Oryctolagus cuniculus: one gene and its partner. The protein of the gene in region 1 purifies or fractionates together with the protein of each later gene. This does not show direct contact. Links are inferred from orthologs where the notes say so. Each region holds a gene or a part of one and is shown on either strand. Other genes may lie near its edges.

Region 1 (4,368 bases):
GGGACATTTCAGGATAACACTGATGGTTTAAATTCAGTAAACCTGAAGACCAGGGGGAAAAAATTGCTAGATTTTCCTTGTTCAAAAATAAAACGCCCTCACAAATATATTTCAAAGGACAACCATTTCATATGTGAAGTGTTGTCACGTACTGTCCAGAAATCACACTGCTCACACCTTAAAATCTAAAGTTAACACCTAATGAATATCATCAAGTCTCCTGAAGCTCAAAATTCCTGGCTAGATATTTACCAATGATCAAACGTGTAAAACAGAAAACACGGCAATTTTAAATGATTTGAAGCCATGTGAAAAGGTACTTCCAGGAACCCTAAAATACAACCAGTGTGTTCTGCGCCAAAGACTGGCAACACAAAGTAGGACTTATGACCACAGAAAAGTGCAAATAAAAAGACACCCCGTCCTCTCCAGGAAGTTACCACTTTGGAACTAAGCGCCTTCCCTACAACGCCACAGACATAGGGCACCGGCTGAACAGGTGAACGCTTAAGAGTTTATTCTGATTCTGTCCACGTGATTCTATGTAGTGGGGAAAAGCAAAATTAAGCTTAATTACGTAAAGGAAAAACTTCAACACCCCAGGCTGCCTGCAATCCAATAACCGCTAAGTTTCATCTCGTAGCCCTCCTACAGCCACTGCCTGGGCGAAAACCCACCTGTGGCCACCAAACTTTCACTGAGTTTCCGGCGCCAAAGTAGCAGATACCAAAGACAAACCTAACTGTCAGTAACCCGCCCTGGGCAGCAACAGAACTCTGCAGCTCTCGCTCCTGAGGCAGGCCGTCACGTGGACCAAGTTAGAGACTAGTGAGAGACACAGGCGCTGCAACGTAAAAGGAACGAACTTTTCTCGCCCTCGCGGCTGCAGCCTGTGTTCTCAAGCCACAGGTGTTGGTTAAAACGTGTCACCGGTTTTCTCTTTTTAAAACAAATGAATGTCACGCCTGAGGTGACTGCTGTACCTCTTCTATAGTCCAGGAAAGAGGTCCAGTCACTCAACCGAAAAGCAAGACTATGCCAGCGAGGCCTTTTCTGGAACTGCTGATAACTGGATCTTCAAGAAGCAGAGGGCAGCCCTCCCATCCTACCACGTTCACAGAAGTCTAAGGTCTTTTTCTCGGACCCAATCTCCAGCAAGAAGCACCCCACCCCCCACTAAATCCTGATAGGCCTAAGTCCTGACAGCACAGGAAAGACCCTACCTCAGGTCAAGCCAACTGCTCTAATCCGCCAGACCCATGGCACTCGCTCCAAAACTAACTTGCACCATTTATGGAGGAGAGACTCTCGGGGGGGCTGGGGGGCACCCCCGCCCCGGGATCACCAAGCCCAACGGAGCCCTGAGGACAGACAAGAAGGGTCTGGAACACAGTTCCCTAAAAATGCCAAGAAGGCGGAAAACGACCCACTCCCAGCGCTCAGGGACCTCTGAGAATCCACAGAGCCCTCCACTGAGGAAGGCTGCCTCCTGCTCCAGCCGGATCCGAGGCCGGCCACTAAGACCGCCCTGGATCAGAAAGGGGCTGCCCAGACGGGAGCCGCAACCTTCATTCATTGCCCACTTGGTCCACAAGACCAAGGAGCTCAAGACACCAGAGATGGCTGACACAGGAGGGCAAACAAGAAACGGACCCGAGACCCCACGCTCACTCCCTCACACCCGGCCCAAACCGCGAACTCGAGCCTCCCAGCTTCTCCCTCGCTGGCCCTGGACCACCCCGGGGACGCGCGCCCGCGCACCTCCACACCCTCACCTGGCGCGCTCGCGCACCCCACACCACCTAGACCCTCAACTGTGTACCCCCGGGACCGCCCACGAGGCACACTCATTCATCTGCAAACCTTCACGACCCACGCCCGTCCGCCGCCGGACTCCCCGAGGCGCACTCTTCGCTCCCCCACACCTCCATGCCAAATCTCCCACACACACAACCCGACCTGCACCCCCTGCCGCCCAGTGTCCCCAAGTGACAGCGTCCCGGGGCGCAGGGAGGGCGGACAGGGTGACACACTCACAGGCTCCGCGTCCAGGCGGGCAGGTCCCCGGGAAGCGCCGCCAGCCCGCGCCCGCCGCAGTCCAGCGAGTCCCCGGCGCAAGTGCAGGCAGCCGCGCAGGGCTCGCGCGGGCCGGCCGCTGCGGTCGCGGGTTCCAGCCGCAGCAGCAGCAGCAGACACAGGAGAAGAAGGCAAGGCGAGCGACGCGGGGCCCCGAGCGCTCCCCGGACCGGCCGCGCCATCTTGTCTGAAGCGCGTTGCGAACTCCGGGCGCGGGGACTACGAGGTCCCGAGCGGGTGCAGGCGCGCACGGCCCCGGTGGGGGCTCCCCTCAGTAGTAGGCTCCGCGTCGGGGCATGGCCGGCCGCACAAGTTCTCTCCGCGGACGCGGCGTCGGCGCTCAGAGGGCCCCCAGTGCCCGGGCCGTTCCGCAGCGCCCGGCGGGGGTCGCGAACCCCGCGCCCATCCGGGCCGACCCGCGTGCGCTCTCCGCAGACCCCACAGGTCCGGGCAAGGGGTGCTCGGCCGCCGCTACTCGTCCTCCTGGCGCGCTCTGGGCCGGCTCCGGAGCCCCCGCGCACGGCCAAGTGCCGCTGCCCCCGCTGCTGGAAGGAAGGCGCTCAGCCTCGCAGCCGGAGCTCGGCGCCGGCGGGCATCTTCTTCGTGGCTCCCGGCACGCAGCTGTAGAACCCGTGCTGGACCGAGCGGCTAACCCTGCGTTCGGAGGACCCCGTGCGCCTTGCTGTCCCAGCAGCGCGAGCGAAGCGCGCGCGCGCGCGCTCTGTTTCGGGCTTCGCACCGCTCCCCGGCGCAGCGAGAGTCGCGCAGACCTCGCGGATGAACAATCAGCCGCTCGCCTCCAGCCTCCCCGCGGCCCAGCCCGGCTAGATCTCCCAGGCCCCGCCTCCGGCCGCTTGCCCTCACACACCCCTCGGCTGCGCGCCCGGCGGCCGCCTGCCGGCCCACGTTGGATGCTTTGCAACAGCGCCTCGCCACGCCCCCTAGCCTCCCGCTCATTGGCTGCCGGAGTCCACGGCGGTCATCCTCAGAGGCCATTGGAGCGCTCACCAAGATCCCGCCCCTCCCGCGTTGCCGGCCACCCCGCCCCCACTCTCTTTTCCCACCCAAGGTGTGAAGGGTGGGGGCCTGGGAGGGGAAAGAGAGGGGCGTCCCCTGACTCTTAAAGGCGACGTAGCGGTTGTAGGTGAGAATGGGGAGGCGCGCTGAGAAGAGGAGGCGACGTCAAGATAACACTCCCGGTCGGAGAGAAAGTTGGTTAAGAGGGTGACACCCTGCTTTGGAGCTGTCTGCCCCAGAGGTTTCTGCCCTCCTCCTCAAAGCTGCAAACTGGAACTCGGGATTCAGAGCAAACCGGCACCCATTGGTCAGGTGCCTTTTCAGGAACAAAGAGAGATTTAAAATTTCACACATTTCCTCCAGATTGGAACATCCTAGTTATTTCATTTGGGGTGGCCCCCTTGCTCCTTGCACAGCGTGGAGTTCCTTCCTGCCCCTGATTGCTTCTTGATGTATAACATCCAGCAACATCCAGCAGTATGTCCTTGCGTGCCAAAATGTACTGCAGAAACCAAGTGTCGCAGGTGCACTGCCCCCCTGCTCCTTGCCTAGTTAAGTTGAAAGATACTTCTGGAAATGTTCCAGCTTTCGATAAAGGACTTGTTTATCATTGTTGTCGGTTTGTCTTTTTTAAAATCAGAGCCCAAACCCAGTTTATATGGAGCCACACAGTACTCCTGAGAGATTTAAAAGGAGAAATGTTACAAAACTTCCAACTGTGGCTCTTACAGGTCAGAAGACAGTAGCCATGTGTGATGACGGTGCACAGAAACAGTAAGGCAAATGCAGAGAGAAAGAGAGAGAGAGAGAGAGAGAGAGAGAGAGAGAGAGGAAAAGATTAGCACTGTAATATATAGCTGCCCCCCTGGGCATTTTGGTTTGCCGGTGTCTCATATCCCTTCCCAAGAATGTGCAAGTTTGTAACATAACTGCACATGTTGTCAGGAAAATTAAGCAATGCAAGTGTGCTGAACAAATCTTTGCTCCACCAGGTTAAATCTGACTTGTGTTTTATGGAAATGAAAAGATCTTCCCTAGGAAGAAAAAGCAAAGCAAAGCAATAAGTTATAAAAATAAAAGGCTATTTTTAAAAGTAATAGAATTGTTTTCATTGTTGACATATCTATAGAGTTTGCCTCCACTGAGATGTACTAAATGTGCTAAACTTTGCCTCAGCCACGAGGTCACCTCTTTTCTTTAACCAAAGCTGGGTTTGGGCTTGGTAGTCCGGTGATTACTAATTGCCTTTCTTCTGTCTCTCCCTCCTTGTTTTCT
Region 2 (3,811 bases), on another chromosome or scaffold:
CCACAGCCTGCTGTGCCAGCAGCCCATATGGTTTCCAGTTGCACCACTTCAGATCCAGCTCCCTGCTAATGTGCCTGGGAAAGCAGTGGAAGATGGTCCAAGTGCTTGGGCCCCTGCATCCACATGGGAGACCCAGAAGAAAGTCCTGGCTCCTGGCTCCTGGGTTCGGATCAGTTCAGCTCTGGCTGTTGCAGCAATTTGGGGAGTGAACCAATGGATGGAAACTTGCTCTCTCTGTCTCTTCTTCCCCTCTTTCTCTCTGTAACTCAGCCTTTCAAATAAATAAATAAATCTTAAAAAAACAAAAAAAAAAAAAAAACAAAAAAACTGGGGCTGGCTCTGTGGTGCAGTAGGTTAATCCTCTGCCTGCGGTGCCAGCATCCCATATGGGCACCGGTTCTAGTCTCGGCTGCCCCTCTTCCGATCCAGCTCTCTGCTGTGGCCTGGGAAAACAGTAGAAGATAGCCCAAGTCCTTGGGCCTCTGCACCCACATAGGAGACAGGGAAGAAGCACCTGGCTCCTGGCTTCGGATTGGTGCAGCTCTGGCCGTTGCGGCCATCTGGGGAGTGAACCAACGGGAGGAAGACCTTTCTCTCTGTTTCTCTCTCTCACTGTCTGTAACTCTACCTCTCAAATAAATAAATAAAATATTTAAAAAAATCAGATACTTTTGTTCATCAATTCTAACCTTTACAATCTCCACAGTAATCTATTAAACCAGTGGTTCTAAAAATTTTGTGACATGCTACCTGGCTGAAAAACCCTAATACAGATATGTTTAGTTAGTTCTTCTCAAGCTTCATTATTTATCCACATCACACGAATATGTTGTTAAAAATCCAGAATTGCTAAGTGGGCCCTGAAATTCTGATTTCTTAAAATCACCCAAATAATGTGGAAGCTGCAGATTCAAGACCATATTGTAAGAAGCAGGAGCCTTGATCTCTTTTGGGTCACACATGTCACACAGTTGAACTACTTGCCAATTTCCGTTCCATTTTGATGGGAGGGGATATTGAATAACAATCATTTCTCAACATTCAGTTTGTACCTTGTTTGGGTTTGTCTCTCATAGGAGTCATGTAACCTTCTTCATCCAGTTCTCCTCGTGGGCTCCGTTCTGGGGCAAACACAGTGGGGTCAGCACTGTACCTCTGGGTGCTGCTGTCCTCTTGGATATGGGGTGCCACCGGCTTGCGTAGGGTGCCGTTACAACAGGAATCATCAAAAATTTCAGCTGTGGCACCCTGAGCAACTGGAGCTTCTGGGATTGTGCTGGTCGTGGCTCTATAGGGCACAGAAACTCCTTGTTCTGCAGTGAAACCCCCATCTCGGTACACAAACTGGTTCTGGTGATAGCAGAAAGAGATTTGGAGGGAAGTTGTTGTTAGGAAAATTAGTACAGAGTGAATGCTAAGAACAAAAAGGATATCACATCATGCCTTTCAGAGAAGTCATAGTGTGAATTGATGTGGTTTCTTTACCTAGAGGCTAATGATTTGAATTACAGACTGAAAACATCTAGAATTTCATTTTTTTCTTAAAAGGTAAATCATAGAAAAATAATTTGGAAATAGATGTTTTAGTTTTACTAATATCTGATGCAATAAAAATATTTGAGGTCCTTCTCTCACAATTGCCTATTTTTGGTGTAGAATTCAGTGAATTTTCATGGCATACAGTGTGGTCATTAGTTGTATACAATTCCCGTTAAGAATAGAAGTAGACCAATAATATTTAGAATTTCCACATTTTCTTACTGCTTTTTGGTTACTATTACTCTGCAGAGACTTGTCACTGAGAATCTGGCTTTTTAGCACATGACCTATCCTCAAGGAAGTAAAGATAATCTCCTCACTTGGAAGCATAATTTATGAGCCAGGTAAATCCCTCAGATATCAATCAAAAGCTAGTGTTGATACATGATATCTCAATTTTGGATTATCTACAAAGATAAAACACACCTCAACTACTGAATCTGTAGCAAATTCTTAACTCACTGTTGGCAAAGGCAAGATGAAGAAATCATGGGGAGACAGGAGAGAGGAATCATGGTAAGCCAAGACCAAAAAATCCTAAAAGATGAAGGCTGATTGTGAAATACTTACTCCTGACATAGGGGTGTAGGCAGGAGGAGGGCTGTGTCCAATTTCACTCTAATAGGAAAGAAAAATGGAATGATGGATATAATAAGATGCAATATGAATGAAAAAATAAAAAAGACAAGACAAGAAAAATAAAAGGCACATGCATTGTATGAATCAAAGGGGAAAATGTGCACAACAGTGAATTTCCCTAAACAGTAAAAATGTATGCATTCTCACTGCAGGCAAGTTTATTCATATGTTTTGAGGAAATTAACATTTCAATTCAAGCCCTGAAAAGGAAAATTATATAGAAAAATGAAATTTTTTCAATGGATTAAAATTAAGTAGACAGAAATATTCTTATTAACCCTAGAATGAAGGAAAAATCAGTAAATACAGTTGTAAATGAGGGACAGTTTCCTTCTTTATGTGTTGAGTAACAATTTGCCACTTAACACCATATTCACTTTTATAAGAGATATGTCTAGGATATAGATGTAGAGTTCAATTTGTCTATAACAATTTTTGCTATGAAGTTACGGTGATTTTTCCACTGTTTCAGAAAAGGGTCAACTTCTCAGCTGTCCTTATAAAAAGGCATATTCTTTTGTCTTCGGTATGCACTATTTTATTTTCATTCTTCTTTTAAAGTTAAGAAATAGCAGAAAATTTGGAAAATCAATTCTTTTCCAAGAAACACACTCTACATTACAATCAGTCAAACATATGTTTCAGTGGTTGGAAAAAATACATCTATAATTTTATAGCCTAATACTCCATCTTATGGGCTAAATTAAAGAGGGGATAAAGTAAATATGGAGGACAATATTTCTTAGGGCAAGCAAAAGGTATTATATGAATCCCAACCTATTTCTTCAAAAAGTCGTATATATTTTATATATGTACATATGTATTTCACTCATTCATTAAACACATTTCTTGAGAACATACTATCTATGTGTCAGGAAATTTTCCACTTTGGTAGGCTCTGGGAACAATGAATAATATGTACCAAAATGGTTAATTGTATGAAGTTTGCATTCTCTACATTTCAACTTCAAGTGAAGAGATGACTAAAATAAACCTCCAAGGCACCTACATCTTTCACATAACACATAGCTTGATATTCCAGGTGAGGGTTGACATAGGTTAGTGATTCATAAAACAGTCTAAAGCTCATATGGCCCCATGGAGATCATTTAATGGCAATCAATACAATTAGATAATACAATTTCCTTAATTAACTTCGTCTATTGGACTAATCAAGGAACAAGTTCTGAATCTGTGTAATGAATTTACATTTTAATTCTCCCCACAACTAAGATGTCATAGTGAATATTGACCTAGTTCCTTCTCTAGTAACATACTATTACCAGCAACTATACTGAGGATTATGACATGGAAATCTATAAAAAACATTTAATAACTAGTATTGTACAATATGCAGATTATTTTATACATTGTTAGAAGCCTTGGGCTACAGTGCCAGTTGCGAATGGTATGAGAATTTGGTCAAACATGAAACATCTCAGATCCTTCATTTCCATCTTTGGCTTCTCTATTTTTAGTGAAGATGAAGTAAGATGATGCATATAAATGAACTCTGTAAACTCTAAACTATTATATAAATGTAGAGGATATATAAAATTTAAATATTCACATCTACAAATTGAAAATTTAAAGTCAAGCAATCAAGATGCCAAAGCTACTCATCAAAGAGGTG

The links.
Region 2: the proteins of LRIG1 (region 1) and ERBB4 purify together in Homo sapiens (affinity purification with western blotting; 3 studies listed by BioGRID and IntAct, with this or other methods). This does not show direct contact. The link is inferred for Oryctolagus cuniculus from reciprocal best matches to the Homo sapiens genes LRIG1 and ERBB4.

The regions. Positions count from the first base shown.
Region 1 is NC_091441.1:83,064,481-83,068,848, reverse strand, and holds the start of LRIG1 (leucine-rich repeats and immunoglobulin-like domains protein 1), read right to left. Parts: upstream 2,903-4,368; 5' UTR 2,259-2,902; coding exon 2,038-2,258; intron 752-2,037; exon of another isoform or gene 678-751; intron 1-677. UniProt on the Homo sapiens protein: Acts as a feedback negative regulator of signaling by receptor tyrosine kinases, through a mechanism that involves enhancement of receptor ubiquitination and accelerated intracellular degradation.
Region 2 is NC_091434.1:28,232,707-28,236,517, reverse strand, and holds part of ERBB4 (receptor tyrosine-protein kinase erbB-4), read right to left. Parts: intron 2,158-3,811; coding exon 2,110-2,157; intron 1,351-2,109; coding exon 1,053-1,350; intron 1-1,052. UniProt on the Homo sapiens protein: Tyrosine-protein kinase that plays an essential role as cell surface receptor for neuregulins and EGF family members and regulates development of the heart, the central nervous system and the mammary gland, gene transcription, cell proliferation, differentiation, migration and apoptosis.